3 linked regions of the Rhinolophus ferrumequinum genome follow. The protein of the gene in region 2 interacts with the protein of the main gene of each other region in a biochemical or structural test. Links are inferred from orthologs where the notes say so. Each region holds a gene or a part of one and is shown on either strand. Other genes may lie near its edges.

Evidence for each region.
Region 1: the proteins of PSMD2 (region 2) and UBLCP1 form a complex in vitro, tested with the Homo sapiens proteins (3 studies listed by BioGRID). The link is inferred for Rhinolophus ferrumequinum from reciprocal best matches to the Homo sapiens genes PSMD2 and UBLCP1.
Region 3: the proteins of PSMD2 (region 2) and UBE3C form a complex in vitro, tested with the Homo sapiens proteins (2 studies listed by BioGRID). The link is inferred for Rhinolophus ferrumequinum from reciprocal best matches to the Homo sapiens genes PSMD2 and UBE3C.

The regions. Positions count from the first base shown.
Region 1 is NC_046307.1:28,968,144-28,975,055, forward strand, and holds the start of UBLCP1 (ubiquitin-like domain-containing CTD phosphatase 1), read left to right. Parts: upstream 1-3,825; 5' UTR 3,826-3,958; intron 3,959-6,223; 5' UTR 6,224-6,267; coding exon 6,268-6,421; intron 6,422-6,912. UniProt on the Homo sapiens protein: Dephosphorylates 26S nuclear proteasomes, thereby decreasing their proteolytic activity. Recruited to the 19S regulatory particle of the 26S proteasome through its interaction with 19S component PSMD2/RPN1.
Region 2 is NC_046285.1:60,849,456-60,857,369, forward strand, and holds the start of PSMD2 (26S proteasome non-ATPase regulatory subunit 2), read right to left. Parts: upstream 3,102-7,914; 5' UTR 3,050-3,101; coding exon 2,915-3,049; intron 2,470-2,914; coding exon 2,413-2,469; intron 2,032-2,412; coding exon 1,867-2,031; intron 1,075-1,866; coding exon 953-1,074; intron 758-952; coding exon 533-757; intron 221-532; coding exon 62-220; intron 1-61. UniProt on the Homo sapiens protein: Component of the 26S proteasome, a multiprotein complex involved in the ATP-dependent degradation of ubiquitinated proteins.
Region 3 is NC_046309.1:878,611-886,000, forward strand, and holds the start of UBE3C (ubiquitin-protein ligase E3C), read right to left. Parts: upstream 3,014-7,390; 5' UTR 2,659-3,013; coding exon 2,593-2,658; intron 2,224-2,592; exon of another isoform or gene 2,205-2,223; intron 1-2,204. UniProt on the Homo sapiens protein: E3 ubiquitin-protein ligase that specifically catalyzes 'Lys-29'- and 'Lys-48'-linked polyubiquitin chains.

The sequences.
Region 1 (6,912 bases), on a different chromosome or scaffold from region 2:
CGGTCTATTTTATTTGTCAAAGCCAAAAACTGGAAACAACCAAAATGTCCAATAGTTGAATGGTGAGACAAATTGTGGTAAACCCACACCAGCGAAACTTCCTCAACCATAAAGGGAAATGGACTATAGATATACGCAATAGGTTGAATAGATCTCAAGTGCCTTAGCTGAGTGAAAAAGGCCAATACTATATGATCTTATTTACATAACATTCTGGAAATGGCAAAATCATTTTCTAGAGATAGAAAACAGATTAGTGACCAAGGCTTAGGAATGGTGAGAGGAATGGGACGGGTGTAATTATAACGTGGTAGCACAAAGGATATCTTTGTGGTGAGGGAAGAGTTCTGTATCTTGATTGTAGTAGTGGTTTTATGAATGTACGTGTGATAAAATGACATAAAACTGTACGCACACACATTGTACCAAGTCAATGTCCTGGATTTGATATTGTATTATAGTTACGTAAGACGTCATCATAAGACAAAACTGAGTGAAACACATGATCTCGCTTTTTGCAACCTAATGTAAATCTACAATTACTTTAAAATATCACATATAAACTATATATACATATGTGTATGTATCCAAAGCATAGAAAATATTTGCAAAAATAGGCATACAAATTAACAGTGGTAATGATATATCTGTATTATTTGAAATTTTTAAAAAACGAATGTCTTCATGAATTTCTTATATAAAAAGAATGTAAAATTATTGTAAAAAATTCAAGTACAGAAAAATATAAACAAGATGAAAGTCACCTGCCTTATGATGCCATCAAGATAATTTCATTAATTCATTTAACAAATACTTACTGAGTGCATCATATGGTGCTATGAACTGTTAACATTTTGTACATTTCAGAATTTTCCTGTGTATCCAGTTATATACAAATAATAATCATTCACTGATATTTATTATAAGCAAAATATGTATTATTATACAATATGTTCTCACTACTTGACCTTCTATTCATTCATTATTCATCTATTCACCAAATATTTATTGAGTACCTGCTTCAGCCAACATCATGTGAGACTCTGAGACTATAATGGTAAATAAGCCAGACATGGTCTGTTTCCTCACAGAGCTTACAGTATAGTGAAAGACTGTCACTACACAAATTTTCTGAAAGGAATACACAATTACAGATACTGTCAAGTTTGGACAATATAAACAATACTTTAAAACACCCAACTGTGCAAGGAAAGGATAGCAAGATATCATGTCATGTTTATGATGAAAATGAGCCAGTAGAGAGAGATGTTAAACATACAAGAGGAAAAGAAAGGGATACTGGATTTACAGAAAACTTCCTGAGAAGAAAGGAGCCAGAGTACAAATATAAGGGTTGGCTTCCGGTGGAAGGAAAACTGCTACATTGAAATAGAAGCAAAAGAAGCTAGGACAAGTACAGAGGTGACTTAGTTTGTAGATTTACAGTCAAAAATTGAGGCAATTCCTCTTTGAGACCTTCTATTTTCTTAGCAAAATATAAGGCAATGTCATCTTCCAAAAGCAAGGATGTAAACTGGAAGATCTGAGGTATGAAGAGAGTTGAGTTTTTAAAGTAGTCATTTGGGAAAGGAAATTGAATAGAAAAAGGTAGTAAACTTGCCAGGCTGAATTAAGGGCTTGTAGAGTCTGTCCTATGGGGCAGAATGTAACCATTTTCAGCTCACTGACTGCAATCAGGAAAAAGGCAAGGTAATACATAGGTATTAGAACAGAGAAACAAAGTACTACAGTGAATTTAAAAAAAAAAAAAAGAGGGTTGTTTCTCAACTGGAAGGAGGAAGAAAATGGTCTGAGAGAGAAAAGGGAAGGAAGAAAATAGGTCAGGGGAAGATGGAGATAAAAGCAGGGAGGTGGTGGATTTCTGGCCAGGGTACAGGAATGTCCTTTTGTCTTCCATGGCCACAGTGATAATTTATCATCTGATTTTGTGAAACTGGTTCCATATTTCTTTTAGTCTTTTAGACCTGTCAATCCATGGAAACCCTCCGGGGGAGTTCCCAGGAATCTTAGTTACTGCAGAGAAGTATGAGTGAGGCACAAGGATATCATCCATGCATTAGAACAGAGGCTCTAGTGAGCAACAGGAGGCAGAAGTTTAGTTTTTCTCTTCTTATTGGTAGTTGTGTGCTGTTGTGAGCCCTTAGGTCCGTTCTGTACTCATTCCTAGTTACCAAAGGTCCAGTTCCTTTACTCAAATGATATCTTTCAATCTACTCCAAGTGTTTTCTTACCATTATTTTTGATTTCATGAATGTTTAGCTAAATAGAAATGGACTTGGAGGAACTAAGATTGGGCCAAAGATAACTTAGAACCATCTGTTAAATGGATCATTTGTCCAAAACACTCTACCATTATTACTCTTGGAGAAATACTACTTACTAGTCAACACTTGGCGATTATTAAATTATCTACACTCTAGTAATACCAAACTTATCAGTCCCTTTATACAATGGCTATTCCATTATTAAAGAGAAGAACTTCCATATGAGTCCTGTTGCTTAGCATTAGTGAAGCTCAAAAGTTTTAGGTGACCTTGATGATTAACAAAAACAAGCTTCTCTCAATCACAATAGCAAGAAAATATAAAGTGGCCAAGCAGCTGGTTAGCACATGAACAAGGCAAGGAAGAGACTGGATTGAAAGAAAATTGTAACTCATTCTAGAGTCCAGTTCCTTTTCTTTTGAACATTAGTTTGGCTGGATTGCTAATGCATGATTTTTCTACAAGTTATTTTAATTTAGGGTTTTCCCTTCCTCTTTTTTTTTGAACAAAAGGGCAGCTTTCCTTTTGAAAACACACTTCGTTTTTTAAAATTACCAAAAGAGAGAGGGAAGTAAAATAGTGTGTGTCTTAACTAAAACATTGTTAAGAAACAAAACTTGGCTCTTTGCTTCCCTTCCATCACAGCCAAAAGGGAAACACATTACACTGCTGTCAAGAAGAAGTGAAAATACAGGTAATTCAAGGACTGGTACATAGTTGGAGGTCAATGTTATTTTCGCATTTCCCTCTTCCTTTTTAAAACGTAGGATTTGTTTGACACCATATACAACAATCTAGTGGACAATGATTTTTTTTCTTTCTTTTCTGGCTAACAGCCAGGGGTGCACGTCGGTAGTTCGCTCTATGAACCTGATAGGGGCCGCTCTGAATTTCCATTAAAGTCTGGAATTCTTTCGACAGGGTTTGTAATTGGCTTTCCTCGCATTCAGAGGGAAGATGGAACGAAGGTGGGGATGGGCGCGTGGCAATACAACTTGATACAATACTATAATCTCCAGGGCAGCTCTTATATTGAGATTTGTTTCTTTGGTTCTCTGAGTTGCTGAGGCTTGCACCTTCCCTTTCCTGACAATCCTCGGTTTCCCTTACGGACTGGGTAAATGGGTAGAATTCTAATCATTAGCTTCTGAAACTAGCAGTGTTGGTGGCCCCTGGTGCCAGAGAAGGGTCTCAAGTCTCCAGTCTTCAAAGGCTACCTTTCAGGTCTCATTCGGAACCTGGACAAAGCCAACGAGTCCCAGTCCCGAGTTCCACGAAGATCTCAGCACACCCTACCCACCTCCGACTGGACGAAACGATACCGGTGACAAATCCCCGAAGCACCTTCGCAGCTCGGAGCCCACAAGCGGGCGCATGCGCAGAACGGAGCGAGCCGACAGCCATCCAGGGATCGTAGGCGTCTGCACAGTGGTCACAGTCTCGGAAAGGCCTGGCTCCCCTGTCGCCGTGAGCGGACCCCTGGCAGCAGCTCTCTAGGATTACTACCCGAAGAGAAACAACGGAAGCAACTGTTCACCATCCAGCGCGTTTCCGCTTCAAACCCTGACTTCCGGTTCGTCAGCCGGTTCCGTCCTTGCTTTTCACTTCCGGTCGCCTTCCGTTCCGCTGCAGCCGGTTCTACGTCCGCTGCTGCCGGGGCCGCCGTACTCCAGGTGAGGGGACTCGGGGCACCCCGGCGTGCCGCCCGCGAGACACCGATGGCCCGGAGGACAGCAGTGTTGCTGTGCTCGGGACCTTCGCTGCCGCCGGCCGTGGCGGGCTGGGGGCTGCTGGTGGGCGCCGCGGGCCGCGTCTGCCCTAGTCGGCCGCCCAGGCCTCCGGCCCTGACTCGCTGGCTGCACGGGCCGCCGCCCTCGCATCCGGCCTTCTCGCGTAGATCGAGGGCTTCCCGCACCCCAGTAGGCGCAGCGTCCCCAAACTTCATTCCTCCCTCTTCCAGGGTTTGAGCATCTCTCCCCCTCACTCTCGCTTATTGAAGACACCCGGGCCCTCGTGGGTTTTGGGGTCTGTCCCTGCTTTCTCGGCTATTCCATGCCCGTCACTTCGCACAGCTCTTGCCTCTGCACTATCACTCAGTTGCTGCTGCTCTGCTGTCCTGAGTCGGCGTTGCCAGTAATGCTGCTTCACACACCTTTCACTAGGCTTGTTGAAAAGTTAGCCCCCTGCCCTCAATTCCCAACTTGTGCACGTTTGCTGCTATGACTTTCATATTTCCGCCTGTGCTACTGTTCAGGTGTTAGGCAGGTTGGTTTACTTCTTTTTGAGTTTTCTGATCTGTTTAATAATATTAAAACTATCACAATTTGACTCAAAAGGTCCATTTGGCTTTTTCTTGAGGATCGTACATTTGTAAGAGCAAGTTCTCTAAAATGGAATGCATTGCCCTAAAGTAACACTTTATTTAAATTTTTGTTAGGTTGGTGCCAAAGTAATTGCGGTTTAAAAGGTTAAAAATTGCAAAAACTGTGATTACCTTGGCACCAACCCAATAGCAGAACAGGTTGTAAACATAAGAGAGTAAATATAAGTGAGTTTATGGTGCTCTCCTAACAGACATGTTGAAGACACCTTACATTTCCAAATGATTTTTGCATGTGAAGATTCAGAAGTAGCCTTCTTTCTTGCAGTTGGTTGTAATGAGTGCAATTAAAGATTTCAATAAATAAGTGACAGCATTTGGAAATACCAGTACTTTGAGATTAGAAAATCCACTTCTCTGGCCTGTGGGGGTAACAAACTAACGAAAACTGGTAGAAAGCTTTGTGGGGGAAAAGACCTACATGCTGTTGTCGATAAGAATAGCAGCTGCTATATCATTGTTGTGCGCTAATATCTGTGCCTGTGAGTTTTGTATTTATTGATTTTTTTTATTTTTTAGTTTTATTTTTTTGTTTTAAGGAAGGCGCAGCTCACAGCGGCCCATGCGGGGATCAAACCGACAACCTTGGTGCTACCAGCACCACTGCTCTAACCAACTGAGCTAACTGGGGACACCCCCCCTTTTCTTTTTAACTTTGATGCGTTAACTCCTGTAGGTCCAATTCAAGAGAGACAGTTGTATAGGGAAAAATCATGAGAGTTAGTCAGAAGACCTGTTCAGTTACCAGCTGTGAGCCCATGAACACATTACATAACCTCTCTGAACTCCCATTTCCTTAATTATAAAATAGGATAATTTTTATCAAACCTTTTAAATGAGATTATCTATGTAAAAACTCCCAATTTATTAAATAGGAAACAAATAATGGCCATTTTACTGTTTAGCACAGTGCCTGGAACACTTCCAGTTTTTTAAAAATTGTATTTAACCAATACTTATAATGCTTACTGTGTGCCACATACCGTGTGACTTCTAAATATTAACTAATTTCATCTTCATAAGAACCCTGAGGTGTAGTTAGTATTATCATCCCTATTTTGCAGATGAGAAAGCCTAGGCACTAGAGAGTCAAGTTACTTCCCAAAGTCAAATAGTTGCTAAATGGGAGAGTTGGGATCTGAATCCAAATAATCTGGCTCTAGAGTTTGTGCTCTTAACAACTCACCACACTACCTCTCAAGTGTCAAATGAACAGTGGTTCATCATGGAGAAACTTTGCCTGTAGCATAAACCTGATCAAAAGAGAAGAAGGGTTAGGTAGCTCATTATTGCGGCTTTCCAATTGCACAGAGAAAATCTGATAGATTATTAGAAAGTAGTAACTCTAAGCCAAAAACTGGGAGGGTGGAGGAATTTTAACTTGAGTCCTAATAACTTTGGGCATTCTGGTAACATCACTGTAAGAAAATCCTGTTTCTCTACTATCAAATTGTAAAATAGAACTCAAACTGTACAGCTTATGAAACTTGTTACAGGTTTGGATACATCTTTGATATATTTCTTTTAACTTGTTTATTGGTATATGCCTTCCTTCTAGGTATTTTTTTCTGAACAAAAGCTGCCTCAACATATGTTTCAAGGATGGCTCTCCCTATTATCGTAAAATGGGGCGGACAGGAATATTCAGTGACCACACTTTCAGAGGATGATACTGTACTAGATCTCAAACAATTTCTCAAGACCCTTACAGGAGTGCTACCAGAACGACAGAAGTTACTTGGACTTAAAGTTAAAGGTAATTCTCTCCTCACTTCAAATTTTTTGCATTGATATGAATTTTTATATTAGCTGTTAACTATTCTCCTTAATAAGTCTTTCCCCGTGGAGATTTCTTTTGTAGGGATATTTGTAAAATTTTTTGATAATAAGTAAGAATCTTAAAGATTACTTGAAAATACCACCACAATTAAGATTACTTTTGATTCCTCCGATTGTTGGTGTTTGCTTGTTAAACACATTTAGCACAGGAGACCCAGGTAAAACACTTAAGTTTTGACAACTATCTTTTAGCACAGCATTTTCATTACAGCTTGGGCCTTGTTCACTTCCCAGATTTTCTTCTCTGTTTTGAAAGTAATGATGATTTAAAATGATGATAGCAGTTATAGGCAGTGTTCATACCTAGTCTAAAAGGGACTTTCATGGTGTCGATGTTTGTCATATTATTGAAGGGTGAGTTTTGAGTAGCATTCAGTGTACAGTTATCCTAGGCATGCAATTTTTAAG
Region 2 (7,914 bases):
ATGTCCCCCCCACCTCCCACGCAAGCTTATCTCTTCCTTTGCTGACTTCTTCCCTACATACACATCCTTGCAGGAGGTGAAGATGTCTTCGACCAGCTCCATGTCATTGAGCATCAATGCCAACCTCAGAGCTTCAGGGAAGCGACTGAACTTTCGGAACACACCCAAGGCACAACGTAGCAGAGCAGAGTTCTCAGGCTCGGGCACGTAATTCACACAACTACGAAGGTAAAAATAATAAAGGAATCAGAAGTTCCAGACATTCATTTACCCCATTTAATTCACTTACCCAAAATAAATACTAAATGCCTGCTGTATACATACCAGGCACTATACTAGACGGTGGGACTACTAAGGAGACATGATGTCTCTGTCCTCAGCTTACAGACAATAAATTAGCTTACAGACAATAAATTAACTACAGTCTGACACTACCTTTGATGCAGGTGTTCTGGGAAAATAGAGGAGGCACAATTAAGAGAGAAGTGCTGGGAAGGGAGGCCTGCCACCATTCCCTACCGTGCTTACGCACCTGGTGAGATAGAGGCAGACCTTTGCATATGCGTTCTCATCAATGTCCTTCTCCAGCATATCCACCTGCTCGATTTCCATGAGCAGGTCGCAGGCCTCATGCTCCGCATTGTGGGCCATGTTGTAGGGGACAATCTCCTTCACAAGGGTCAGCAGTGGCTCCCGCTGTGTCTTCTCTGCATCATCCAGCTCCTGCCACTCCTTAGCCACTTCTCCTGCTAGATGCCTATGGATAGACAGGCCGAAACCATTAAGGGAGCACAGCTTCCCAGGAAGCACTTCCCTGTGGGTCAAGGAATTTAACGTCTGCGAAACTCAATCCACTGGTACTCCAAAACAGATAGTACCCCCAGGTCCTCCCAAGACTAAACTCAGAATTATGCCTCAGCACCCCTTTCAGATTCCCAAGGAAAGGTCTTACCTGACATACTCATGACCCCATGATGCTAATTCCTCTTGGGATCCCACTAGCCGATACTTGAGGCATTCACGCTCCCCACTCATGGTCATGGCCAAAACAGAGATGATATCAGCAGCAAACCGCTATAAAGAAACAAGTCTTTGAAGTCATATCCAAGGTAAGGGAGGGTGTTACATTATGTAATCAAGACCACTATCACTAGCCCCCAAATTAAGCACTAACTATACACCAGCTTCTATACTAGAAATTTACACACGTTATCTAAGCTAAGCCTCATGATAACTCTAAGGTTAGTGTTGCTACCTCCCTTTTAACCCAACATGGCTAAAGGGCGACAATAAGGGGAAAGTGGAGAAAGATGGATTGTTGATGTTATTCTAATCACAACAATAAACTATTAATTGAAAAGTTTTAAGCAGAAAACACTCACAATCTAGAAAGATTACTATGGCTGCTATATGAAAAACAAACTGTGTAGGAGGTCAAGAACAAAAGGAAAAAGGCCAGTTAGGAGGCTGCTTCACTAATTCAGGTGAAAACTGAAGATTTCCTGGATTAGCATTATTCCAACAGGCAAAGAAGTGATTGAACTGGGGACATATTTTAGAGATAAAACGAATGAATGTACATGGGATGTGAGGAAAGAAAAAAGTTAAGGTTACACTGAAATAAATAGATCATAATAATGAAATCCCAAGGTCCAACATACATGACAGAAACAGTACCTTCTGTTCACAAAAGAAAGCAATCCTCTTGTCTGCTCTTAAGTGAGTATTTTGACTGTGATAAGCTCTGTTCAGCCAGCTCAGATCTCAGGTCTGTCAGGCTTCCTGTAGGACTTCCCATGAGCCCCATGGTCTTGATGAAAAGGAATTCCTAAACTAGGCCTCCACCAACGCCGGAAATAGTTTTACCTTATTCTCTCCAGGGGCCATGTTCTCATAGATTTCCTTCAGCTTGCCATAGTGTGGACGCAGAAATTTGAGAGGCTTGGGCACTGACGTCATGGACGTTGTAGAAGAACGAATTTGCCTTCGCAGTTCCTCCAGGGCTGGTCGGTACAGGGATGTGTCCTTCTCCTGAAAAGGAGATGTAGGGGTCAGACAAAAAGTTATAATACATCCCTCATGTCATAATACACAGCTGTTTAACAACTCCCCTAGGAAGTCACTGTCTTATTCATCTGTGATTCTCCAACTACCTGCACACTGCCTGGCACAAAAACAAATGACCCCAGTGAAGAGTTCGAGAACTGCTTTTCCCAGGAGAGACAGCTACAAAATCTTTTAAATATCCTTTGTTACTTTCCTCTCTCACAACTTCGCCATAACACTGACCCTAAAATACAGTCCACCTTTCCCTATACCTCATATAGGACTTCTTGCCCCAAAATGGACTGAAACAAACAAGTGGGAAAGCTCCAAACACGCACCAGCTCCTGTTAACATATCATGACTCACCCCCAGTCGTTCCACGAGCATCTCCAGTTCATCCTGAAGTTGTTTGTCCTCTTCAGACTGGAGAGTTGGGGTAAGAGGCTCATCAAGAGAAGGAATCCCAAACACATCCTCCTCCCATTCACCCTGGGGCAGGTGGAGAGTGAGCCTGCCTCCTTAGGGACCAGGTGGACAAGGAGAGACAGCGGGAATGGGATGCCCTGGCGGGAAGGCAGCTTGGTTTCTGGACCAGGCTCTGCGTGAATGCCATTCTAAAAACTGGGGTGACAATGACCCGCCCGGGCCCACATCACCAGACGGTGGTGAGGGCTGGCGGGGGTGGCGGAGGTTACCGCGCGGAATGGAGGATGAGGGGCAGAGAGGCGGGGTGCCGGGAGCCCCGAGGGTCTCCCCATCCGCCCTCCCCCGAGCGCCGCGGGGCCGTTGGGAGTCGGGCCCGAGGCCTGCGGCACCTCCGTGACTCAGCCTGCGGCCTCCTCCGCCGGCCCCCGGGGCCACACCTCACCAGCTCCTGCTCTTTGTCTTTGTCCCCAGCATCCCGCCGGTCCTTGCCGCCCGGCTTCTCGTCTGCGCCGCCTGGGGCCGTCACTGGGGGCTGCTGGGGCTGCAGCGGTGCCTTGTCTCTGCCTCCCTCCTCCATCTCCACGGCCACTGCCGGCCAGCTGCGTGCGCACCACTCGCACCTCCCCGTTTCCCAGGTAGCATCGCGCGCGTCGCTCAAGGCTCCCTCCACCTCCAGAGCCCGCCTGCGACCGGAAACGTCGCCGAAACCTAAGCGCCCCAGCCCTCGGAAGCCAAATGAAAACTACAATTCCCAGCCTCCCGCGCGCCATAAGCACCGCCTCTGGACCTAGAGTTTCCTGAACTCCACGGGAGTCTGCAGTCTGGGATTCGTACGTGTTGGTGAGCTGGCTGCGAACCGAGAGACCATCCATAGGTATCTTCATAGCTGTGTGATTAGTACTCACAGTTGTTAGTACCCCAGTTGGATGCGTGGTGGGACAAACGGACGAGATTCTTGAAAGCCAGACGCTTGATTGCCGTCTATGTGAAGTTTGTGTAATCTAGGTGTAGCTCCATACCACAGTGGAATATTGACCTCATTACATTCCCTCCTACCCCCAGTTGAAGGAAAGTACTCCAGTATTACCGTGAAGATATGGCTACTACCTTAAATCCACCTGCGGAGCCAGGTGGAGTAAAAATTAATAAAGTCTTATGCTCCAATGCTAAGTTCCGGAGCTGAAAACAGAACAAGACAAGGTCTTTGTCCTGTCTGTTTTGGTATTCCTCTCCCTGTTATGAGGAATACCTCTCCCTGTTATGAGGAATACTCTGTGTCAGGACTGATTTTGAATATTACATTTTGTTCTCACAACCTTTTAAGTTTGGCAGGGTTTTGTCCATTTTACAGAGAAAATTATATGGTAAGGAGTAGAATCAGGAATTGAATACTGATCCTTCTGTCTTTCAAGCCCTTGACTGTTTCAGGCAAACCTCAAAATTTCTTCGGTTGGGCTAGGTATGAATCCAGAAGGTGAGAAAGGAGGGAGTAATTTTTCTCCCCTTCATCTGATGAGAACACTCATCATTTGGCCTGGCGTCTTATTTTATGGGTTCTCAGACATTAAAGAATGCAGAAAATTTGTTTAAAAAAAAACTAGTACAACATGATTAGCACTGAAAAAATGTTGGCTAAATATTTGTATACATATACCTGTAAAGGTCTGAAGCCCATTTTAAAACCTGTTGCTCATTTCCACTCACTGCTAGGATTCTGGGGATGACTTTGCCTTTGCAGAGCCAATGACTCCCCAGTCCTGCTCTGCTGACAGAAATTGGGCAGCCGATAGCCGTTCTGCCTCGTCTATCTCTGGATTCAAGATGTCCATACATTGTCATGCTTTCTTCAGTCATCTGTAAATGTATTTCTCCTAAATCTCTTGTTTTTCCATGACTTCTTTCTCTCAAGTCTCAGCTTTTGTCTTCTATATCAGTCATGTCCCAGCCAGCACCTTAGAGGAGATGGGGTGATGTGGCATAAAACACAGGCTGTCAACAGCTGGCGACTCCAGAGGAAGAATCTAGGAATATTTGTTGCACTATGTTTCAACTTTTTTGTAGGGTTGAAATGTCGAAAATAAAAAGTTGGAGTGAGTAGGAGAACATAAGCTTTAGAGAGAGACAGACCTGGTATTTAAAGTCAAATTCTGCCCTTCATTAGTTGTGATAATTAGTCAAGTTTTCTAACCTCTCTCAGCCTGGTTTCTGCCTCTGTGAAATGTGGGTAATAAAATATCTCCCTCATAAGTTGTTATGAGAATGAAATAAAACAGTGTATATAAAGCCGCTAGCTTTACCTTTATACCTGGCAACTAGAAAGCAGGGAGTTGTCATTTTCCAACTACCTCAGATCTGCAGGGCTGACTGAGGTAAACATTCTTGTTTCCTGCCCCCCACCTCCAAGCATTCAAGCCCCCAAGCCTCTCCAGCCAAATGCAAATGTCTGGCAGTAATTTTCAAGGCCCCACGATAACACTGATGTCCTGCCTCAAGCTTCGGTTCAGTCAAATTGCCTTCCCAGAAGCACTCCTTCCTACCATTTGGCCAAACTCCCAGCCCTGTGGCCAAATTGCTCTCCAATAAGGGACCAGCTCATCACCTGTTCCTTCCTACCACCTTCCTTCAAATTGCATCCACAAGCCTGCCATGCTGCCCCCAAACTCATGGCCTGAGAGGTAGAGCTACACATCTGATGGATGGCTCTGCTCATCTGAGAACCATTCAAGACAACACATCACTTATGTAACACCAGAAGTGATCCTGGCAGGACACAACTTCGCACTGTTTCCACTAGGTTGCTACTTTCTTCGTGTGATATTTTTCAGTCAGATTGCACTGTGGCCCTTCTTTCTATTAATTCCCAGGACAGCAGGGAATCCCCTCTTTTCGTACCTACTGTCACAACTTCCCTTCTCCGGATTCTCACCTCTCATTATGCCCCTTCTGGTCATCCTAAACATTTCACCATGTCTGAACACACCCTGCCCTTCAGGCTGATCAGCCTTTTCACACTACTTATTCCTTCTGTATGGAATGCCCTTCACTGTTTTCAGCTAACAAATTCTCCCATCCTCTGCACTCCAGCTCAATGTCACCTGTTTAGGAAGCTTTTCCTACTCCACCCTTCAAGCTATTAATTTCTTCCCTGTGCTCTCACCGTGCTTGATACATGTCTCCCTCCCTAGACTCTGAGCTCTTAGAGGACAGGAACTGTGTGCCCCTAGCACTCAGCCTAATGCCTGGCTTGTGGTAGGCCTTGACAAATACTTCTTGAATGAATGAATGAATGAATGAATGGCTTTGCATTCATCTTCAGGTCATCTTTATGTATAGTAATGGCCCATCAGGGGCTGTCTTTGGAGCCCAGAGCTGGGCATTGGGAAACCGTCCAGATTCTGCATTTGTGAGTCAGTATGGGCCCACTGAAACTGCTTATTTTATAGGGGACTCTCTTCCAGCCTGACATGTCCAGCGTGTTTCCAAGTGTGAAATCATATTGTTTGGCATTTGTTACCTAATTGTGCATGGGATTTAGTCAAACTTCCCAGTGGGATAGTGTAGGGCATGGCCCAGCACCTTACCAATAACGGCTCCCACGTGCCCATCCAGGAGCACCGCCTTTAATCCTCCTCCTGCCTTCACACCCCAGAGCATTTCACAGGTGCATATTCATCAGCTTGGCAGGGCTACCGAGGGTAAAGGTCTGTCACCTGATGTTCACCTTGCCTTGCTTCTGGAACCAAGGACCTGTAGAGTGCTCAACAAACAGGTGTTACCTGGCTGAATTTCAGCTCAACATGTGCCTGTTTCCTGCAGCTGCCTGGGTGTCACATGTGCCTGGGCCAGGGGAGCTGAGTAGCATGGAAATGTACCTGCTGGTGATGGTCTCACTTGGATGTATGAGGAAATCGCCCAGAAGACAGATGTCTCTGCTGGAGTCTAAAGTCTGTCATGACTTAGAAAACTAAATGCTGGTGATTAAGAGCATCTGAGTTCCAGATGTTACTTTAATGCAATCTGACATTGGAAGTTATGTAATCTTTGTCCTTAGTTTCTCTACTTGTAAAATAGAGACAATGATAGAACCTCCTTATAAGTTATTGTGGGAATTTAATGAGATGATGTTTCTAAAGAGCTTAGGACAGGCTTAAGCCAAATAGGGACTCAATAAATGAAAGTTGCTTTTTATAATGATTTTATTATCATTATTAGGCATTTTGACCTTTCTGCAAATATGGAGTTTCTATGTCCCAATGGCCCGCTGGTCAGCATCCTAAGTTTGTCTCTGAAATCAGATGTCAAGGGAAAGGCAAGACTTTATGCTGCCAAGCTATTCTCTTCCCTCATTATGCTGTCTGACATTATAAATCTCATCTTCTGTGCAACACCCAAACTTCACAAGTCATTTCTCAATATTTCTTTGGATTCCAGAATTTGATAAGTCCATGAATTCCTTCTTTTTTTTTTTTTATATTTTTTTAAAGATTTTATTGGGGTAGGGGAACAGGACTTTATTGGGGAACAGTGTGTACTTCCAGGCCTGTTTTCCAAGTCAAGTTGTTGTCCTTTCAATCTTAGTTGTGGAGGGTGCCGGGAGCTCAGCGGCAGCTCAGCTCAAGGTGCCCTGTTCAATCTTAGTTGCAAGGGGCGGAGCCCACCATCCCTTGAGGGAGTCGAGGAATCGAACTGGCAACCTTGTGGTTGAGAGCCCACTGGCCCATGTGGGAATCGAACCGGCAGCCTTCGGAGTTAGGAGCATGGAGCTCTAACCACCTGAGCCACCGGGCCGGCCCCATGAATTCCTTCTTAAAACATTAAAGCTGAACTGGTCCTCAGACATCACCTCACCCAACCCACGTATTTTAAAGACTGCTAAGGATACTGAGCCCTGAAGAGGGGGTGAGACATGCGTACTGTCACGTATTTAGGGGGTGGTAGACTTGGAGCCAGAAGCAGGTTTCCAGATGTGATGGTCCCCCTTTCCAACGCATTTTGCTGTCCCTTCTAGAGTCAATGTTCGCAGAGGCTCACGCCGTGCCTTCCCTTGGTCTTAGAGTTCCCAAGGCCACTTTGGTCCTTTCTGAGTAGCCAGCTATTTCCTTCCATTGGTGAGCAGCCAGCACTTTCAAATAACTTGACAGAGGCCCAAGTATAGCACTTTATGGGGCAAGTCTGGTGCTGGGACAGGATACCAACGATGGGAACATACTTGTGTCATCACCTGGGGACCAGGGACCCCAGCACCAATCAATGGCAAAGCCTCACACTTACCCTTCCAAATTCAACAAACCCACCCCCACCTCGGGGAACAGTGAGTTTTAAAGAGAATTGAGACTGGACTCTCTACTGTTTTGCTCTAGTTGTCGTTTTACAGGTAAAGAAACTGAGACTCATGGAGGTTAGGGAATGGGCTCAGGTTCATATAGCTATCAGGGCTTCGAT
Region 3 (7,390 bases), on a different chromosome or scaffold from region 2:
CTCCTGAGAACTGGGCCTGAGATCCAGCCGCCTCAGCGGGGCACCTGCACTAGGAAACCACCCGGGCCAAGGTCCTGCGCAGGTGAAAGGAGAAAGCCGTCTGCGGAGCGCCAAGAATGAAGGAGGTGGTACAGGCCAGGAAGAAAGCCAGTAACCACCATGGTGCTGATGACTTGCTGTCCGGATGTTCCTGTCCTTCCATTCTGGGAGATACCATCTTATCCTCCCCATACACTTGTTTTTTGTTTTTTGTTTTTGCCTACTAAGCCAGTTTCAGTGGATTCCTGTACCTGTAATCAAATGACCTCTAAGATATCCTTCTATGTACTACCAAGAAATGGAAAAATACTGCCAATAAACTATGTCATGCCACCATGGTGCATCCTGACTTCAGAAATATTAAAAAGCGGGAACCTGTGACTCAGCATCATGGGATCCAGTACGTTATTCCATGCACACTGTTCCATGCGCTGGGATACCCTTCCTGTTTCTCACCTCCCCAAATTCTGCGGGTCCTTCAAGACTAAGCCCCAACCAACTCCAGCGTTTCCTGGGTCAGCCCAAGGAAATCCAGATGTAGTAATTACTCTCTCGTTATTTAACTGACTTGTTTAAGTCACATCTCCCTAACAAGATCATACTGAGGACGCGGACTTTTCCTTCGGTTTCAAACCCTACACAGAGCTTTGAGAAATAAACACTAAAAATACTAACTTACTTTGAGAAAAAAGACATATTTATTCAAAAGGTGGCACTATTCAGTTTTCCACTAGGCTCAAGAAAGAAAAGATTCAAATAATCTAAATCATAGAAAAGATCGTTATATCTTTTTGTTTTTTAAATGAGGGAAAGGCCTAAGCTGCAGCCAACGAGAATTAGGAAGATACGAGAATTAGGAAGATACGTGTATGTAGTTGTTCAACATCGCAGTTGTCAGGAAGCAAAATGAAAACTACAGTGACACGACATCCCCGCCAAAACTGCCCGAATGACGAGGGGTGACAGTACTAAGTGTTGACAAGGAAGTGAAGCCACTGAAACCCTCTGCCTCTGCAGGCACCCCACGCAGGGAGGCCGGCAGTGTGCACTGGCGCCCACGTGTCACACACGACCAGCATGAGCGTACACGCCGCCAACACACACACACAACTGCCCATAAAACAGAATGATCACTGGTGTGTTCACACAACACAGAACAAGACGGTGGGTTCCACCTCAGACAGAATGCTGAGCCAGAGGCCAGATGGACAGAAAGAGACAAACTGCATGTGACCCCACGCACGGACGTTCAACAGGCAAAACCAACGTGGGACGGTAACAGGTGGGACGGTAGTCGTGCATGGGGAGGGCGCAGGACCGGCCTGAGGAACGCTGGGAATGCCCGGCGGTCACGTGGACAACTCCTTGAAGCTGAACCTCCCTGGAGAGCAGCCCAGAGTCTTCTCAGGACACCGGGCCCGGCGGAGGGGCCAGCGCGTCACACCCCCACCCTCGCCGCGGGCAGCCTGCAGCCGATGACTACTACGGGGGGATGCGAAACGCCAGCCCCTTCCCTCCACAGGGACAACTGGGGTGCCAGCCGCTGTGCAGGGTTCTCACTGGGATGGGCCCCCGCCCCCCTCCTCCCCTCCTCAGCGGCACCCACACAAGGTGTCCTCAGGCCCTTCTAGGGGACAAAGCCTAAGGAAGCATGTGCACTTAAGGTTGGTGATGTACGGTAAGTCTGTATGTCAATAAAAAGGAGGGAAAAAGGGGAAAAAATTGTTTTGCACAGCTCAAAAGCAAGATGCGCGCTCTCCCCTTGAGAGTCAGGTCAAATGACAAGTCCTGTCCCCGGAAAAGAGACGGGCTGCTCGGTGGAAACCAGGTTCGGTCCCCCGCAGGGCAGGCCCGGGCACTCCAGTCTGCAGCGGAAGGCACAGGCGCCACACACGCGAAGGGACGTGGATCCTGGGGTGGGCACCTGCCACCGCCTCGCTGTGCGCTCCCATGGGCAGAGTAACCACAGTTGGTCCGCCCTTACCCTAAACAATTACGATGACAATAATTACATGACGAATCGTAAAAGACACACACGTATTTCCCTCCAGAAATGTGTCTCCAGAAGGCCGGCAAAGAGTAAGTTTCACAGCCTCGTATTCACCCACGCGGCCCCTCCGCGGTTCTGCCTCAATTTCCCAGACTGCCGCCGCGCACACACACACCTGTTCACTTCCGACAACAGACAACACCGTGCGGTACTCCCCTAGGGCAGGCGTGACGAAGGGTCTGAAGTCCCTCCGGAGAAGACGCACCGCGGCCGCGCCGCCGTTTCCTCACGGCCCGAGCCGAAAGGCCGTCCGTCCCCCCCGCGCCCCCTCGCAGGAGCGGAGACGCCGGGAGCGGGGCGGGCGGGCGCTCGCGCTCTGCGAAGCCCTGCCCCCGTCAGCCTGCCCTCCACACCTGCTCCAAACCCCGGGGCCGGTGACACGGCAGGGGCCGGCGCGGTCTCGAGGGCGGAGCCGGAGCCCGCGGCCGCCCCCGGCCCCCGCCCGCCCGCCCGCCCGCCCGCCGGGGGCCCAGACGCCGCGGACACTCGCAGGCCGCTCTTACCTTCCTACTCGCGCCTCCCAGAGACACCTTGGGCCTCGTTTTGAAATCCCCTTCAAAACTAAACATCTTTGCAGCTTATCCCATCTGGGAGGAGCCCCGGATCCTGAGAGCAGCGGGCCGGGCGGGGAGGGGCTCCGGGGGTGGGGTCCCGGGGGAGGGGTCTCCTGCGGGGGGGCCTCCGGCGGGGAAAACGAGGCCGCTCCTGGAAGCGACCCCGAGGCCACCCTGGGGACTCTGCCCGCCCGGGCCTGCCCTCGGGTGGGGGGGCGGCGACACTGGAGGGCGGCTCCTCCTCGCCTCCCCCGTCATCCACGCCTCCCCACCGCTCCGGTCGGGGCTGAGGGCGCCGCAGGGAAGCGGACCCCGCACTTGCACCAGCAGCAGCCGCCGGGAGGGAAGATGGCCGCCGGCCGCCGTCGCCGTGCGCGGCCCCGCCGCCGTGCGCGTGCCCGCCATCGACGCCGCGGCGCTCCTCCCGGCGCCCTGCCAGCGGGCGCGCGCCCGCCATCGACGCCGCGGCGCTCCTCCCGGCGCCCTGCCAGCGTGCGCGAGCCCGCCATCGACGCCACGGCACTCCTCCCGGCGCCCGCCCTTGATGGCGCGTCGGAGCGTGGGAACGTGCCGCGGTGACCTGGGTCTGCGGCCAGGGCGCGTAGGTGGGGCCGGGGGCGGGGCCGTGTGGGCGGGGCCGAGGGTCGTGCGTGCCCGCGACCCGGAATTGGACTCGGATGTCGGGTGTGTGTATGTCTGGGAAGCGGGCTCGTAGCCTTCAGTATGATGCCCAGCGACTGATCTGGGAAGAGAAGGATAGGTTTTATTACATCCTTAGTTCCTGCAGGGAGTGCATACATTTCACGTGGTAACCTGGTTCTCGTGTGTACTTCGCACGCACATGTATCATACACATGCATACACGTACACAGAAATGTATGTTATGTACACACATATACACGTCACGTGCACATGTGTACATAAATATATCATATACACATACATATGTATTATAGACATAGGACTAAAAACCAAATTTTACAAAGTAATACTTATCACTGTGTCGGATGCACTGCTTTTTTTTTTACTCTTTTTTTTTTTTAATGCTGCTTGCAAACCACTGTTGTAGCTTCTAAGACACACCTATTCCATCACCTAAAATCAAAAATAGTGACAGCCCCAAATGCTGGCAAGGAGGCAGAGAAACCTGACCTCCCATATGTAAAATGTGACAGTCACGCTGGGGAAGTTTGGCAGTTTCTTCTTTAAAAGATGAAACATAAGGGGGTTGGGGGGTGGGAGATGAGGATAAGGGGGATCAAATATATGGTGATGGAAGGAGAGCTGACGCTGGGTGGTGAACACTAATGTGATTTATGGATGATGTAATACAGAATTGTACACCTGAAATCTATGTAACTTTACTAACAATTGTCACCCCAATAAATTTAAAAAAAAAAGACGAAACATACACAATCTCAGGAAAATCCTGCCTCCACCGCCCCACACATACACTATATATATATATAGTTCAATAACTAGGTCACCCTATAGAATACGAATATATTTTTTATTGTAAGTCGGGAGCAAAAACTTTTGAAAGCCACTGGATCAGTGTGCTGTTTCCCATCAATACAGACGTCTACTCTGATATATCAAGATGCTTGAGTCATTAAAAAATCTCCAAATTTTACCAATTTTGAAATATTACAGATTTTGTAAATACAACATCACATTTTTCTTAAGCTGTCAAATGGGCAAAGATTAAAAATATTGGTGATATCCAGTATGTGCTCTTAGTCAGTGAACTGCTCTGAGGTCTGAGGTTTTGCCTCAGATAAACTCTTTGAGGTCTAGCCCAGGAGTGAGGAGCGGGCAAGCCCCACTGACTGGAACACCAAGCCCAGTTAGTTCTCCATTGTCAGCTTTGCTGGTAATTAAGGTGTGTTGTCTCCATCTGCTGGGGATTGTTCAAGTATTCTCATGGGCTAAGAACGTAGGGAGGGCGGTGGTGCTATATTTACTGGGCCTCTACAAATCCCAGCACTGCTGTCCCCTCATTTGGTCTCACGTGTCCCTCTTGCTGTGGTGTAAGCACCCCTGTGCTAACTCTGGTGCTTTTATTTGGTGGCCCTATCGTGTGAGGGACCACTTCACTTGGTACTCACTCCACTGAAGAATGAGTAAGCTGCCCCCATGCCAGAGGGAAAACGGGCTTATCCAAAGAGTGTCTCCGACATGCCGATACCTACTGAAGGATTTTCAAAGATTTTTAAAATACCCTTTTATAGAAAATTTCAAGCCTAATAATGCAGAGAGAATAGTATAATCAATCCCATCAGCTAGTTGTGATGATTATCAACTCATGGCCAATCTTGTGTAACTTACACGCCACTTGTTAACCACTGTCCTCCATTATTGATATTATTTCATGTGTAAATATCTCAGTATGTTTCTTTAAACGCGGGATGTTTTTGAAGACATAGTTATCACCCTACAAAAACCAACAGCAATTTTCCACGATAGTTTTGACAATAAAAGATTCCCAACCACATGTGCTTGCCTCAGAACTGAGTGCCTGTGAAACGTGACTCCAGGGTGCCTTACCAAATACGTGTCTTCTTCCAGCCTACAGACTCCGTAGGCGTGAAGAAGCTGAGCAGCTCCCTCTCGTACCTACTGCAGTGCGTACGACAGGCCCTCAAATATATGTGAATTCAATCGATTACTAACACAAAGCAGTGGAAAGAGGTAGGTTGAAAACCATAACTTCTACGACACACCTATTTGAACACCTAAAATGAAAAATAGGGACAGCCCCAAACACTGGCAAGGAGGCAGAGAAACCTGACCTCCCCTGTGTAAAATGTGACAGCCACACTGGAAAAGAGTTTAGCAGTTTCTTTTTTAAAAGATGAAACATACACTTACCTTACCACCCAGCAATTACACTCCTGTACATTGATCCCAGGGTAATAAAAACGTATGTTCACATGTCATTTATACATAAATGTTCACATTAGCTTTATTTGTATTGTCCAGATCTGGAAACAACCAAAAGAGTGATGGTCAAGCCACCTGCTGCGACCCCAGCTTGGATATTACTAAGCAGTAATCAAAGAACAAACTATTGGCACACACAGCGACTTGGGTGCTCTCATGAGGCTGAGAGAAAAAGTCACACCCAAATGGTCACATACTGGGTAATTCCACGTATATGGCAAAATGACAGAATCACAGAGACAGACTGGCTTTGTAGTTGTGACGGGGAGGAGGGCAGGTGGGATGACTCAGACGGCAGGAGGAGGGAGGTCAGTTCCACATCTTGGTCTTGGTGGCGGTTACATGAACTCCACGTGACCAAATGACACAGCGCTGTGAACACACACTGCCAGTGCCATGGCTCCGGTTGGCTGCTGTGCTGTCATTATGTCAGACGCAGCAATGGGGCATCTGGGGGGCGCATACAGGACATCTCTGTACTATTTTTGCAACTCCCTGTGATTCTGTAACTATCTCAAAATAGAATTTTCAGATACAGCCTAAAATAATAATAATAATAATCTCGAATACCCCTTACAGGTGAGGTTTTTCTGGTGTCTGAAAGAGCCCTGCATGCCTCATCCTCCTCAATTAGAAAGCATGCTTCCTTTCTTCTATTTCTTTGCTCCAAATCCATCTAATGCAACATATGCAGTATATTTTTAAGCTTTTGTTTGGGAAGCAGTAAGACTTCAATTTATGTGAAGATTCTGGCTAAAAATTGTAAATTGTTTCAGAAGGTGTTTTGTAACTTGCAGGAGAGGAAGGGAAGAATTCCTGCCACCAGGACTGCATTTACTCATTTTCTCTTCTCTTGCACACCTTGTCTAAGTTACCTACAATTCAAACATTCGGGAAAGATTACCCAGATTTTTATTGTAAGGATTTATTATTTAGAATAATGATGCATATTAATTATTAACATAAATCAAAACAATATCGATACAAGCAAAGTATAAGAGAAACTTTCCATGTACCCTACACCCCTCATCTGTCTATCCATCTATCATCTATTATCCATCTATCATCTATCTATTATTTATTATCATCTATTATCTACCTATCATATCATCTATCTATCCATCCATCTTAGTTTCTTAGTACTGTTGCTGTAACAAATTATCCCAAACTTAGTGACTTCAACAACAGAGATTGATTATCGTACAGTGTGGGAGTCAGAAGTGTCACTGGGCTAAAACCTGGGTGTGTACAGAGCTGTGCTCCTTCTGGAGGTTCTGGGGAGAATCCATGCCCTTGCCATTTCCAGCTTCTAGAGGTTTCCAGGGTTCCTAGGCACATGGCGCCTTCCACTCTGGCATCACGCCTACCTCTGCTTCCGTCCTCCCATGTCAGACGCTGGCCCTCCTGCCTCCCTCTGATAACCACGGTCCCACTCAGATAACCAGGACTACTGCCCCATCTCGAGATCCCTAACTTATCCCATCTGCTAAGTCCCTATTGCCAGGGAAGGTACTGTTCACAGGTTCTGGGGATGAGGGTGCGAACATCTTTGGGTGTGGGGGGCATTATTCTGTGTGCCAACCTGTGTATCTAGGATTGTTCTGTTCTTAAAAGAGATCATACTCCCCGCAAGCCCCCAACCACTTGCTTTTGTACCGAATGCACCATGGATGCCCTTCCCTGGCAGTGCTCAGATACAGCACCCTACGTTTGCCTCAGGGTGCTGAGAGTCCCGTGTGTGGCTAGGCCCGACTGTACCAGCTCCCCACGTTCCTATTGGCTCTCGAGCCAAGAAACCAGCCCT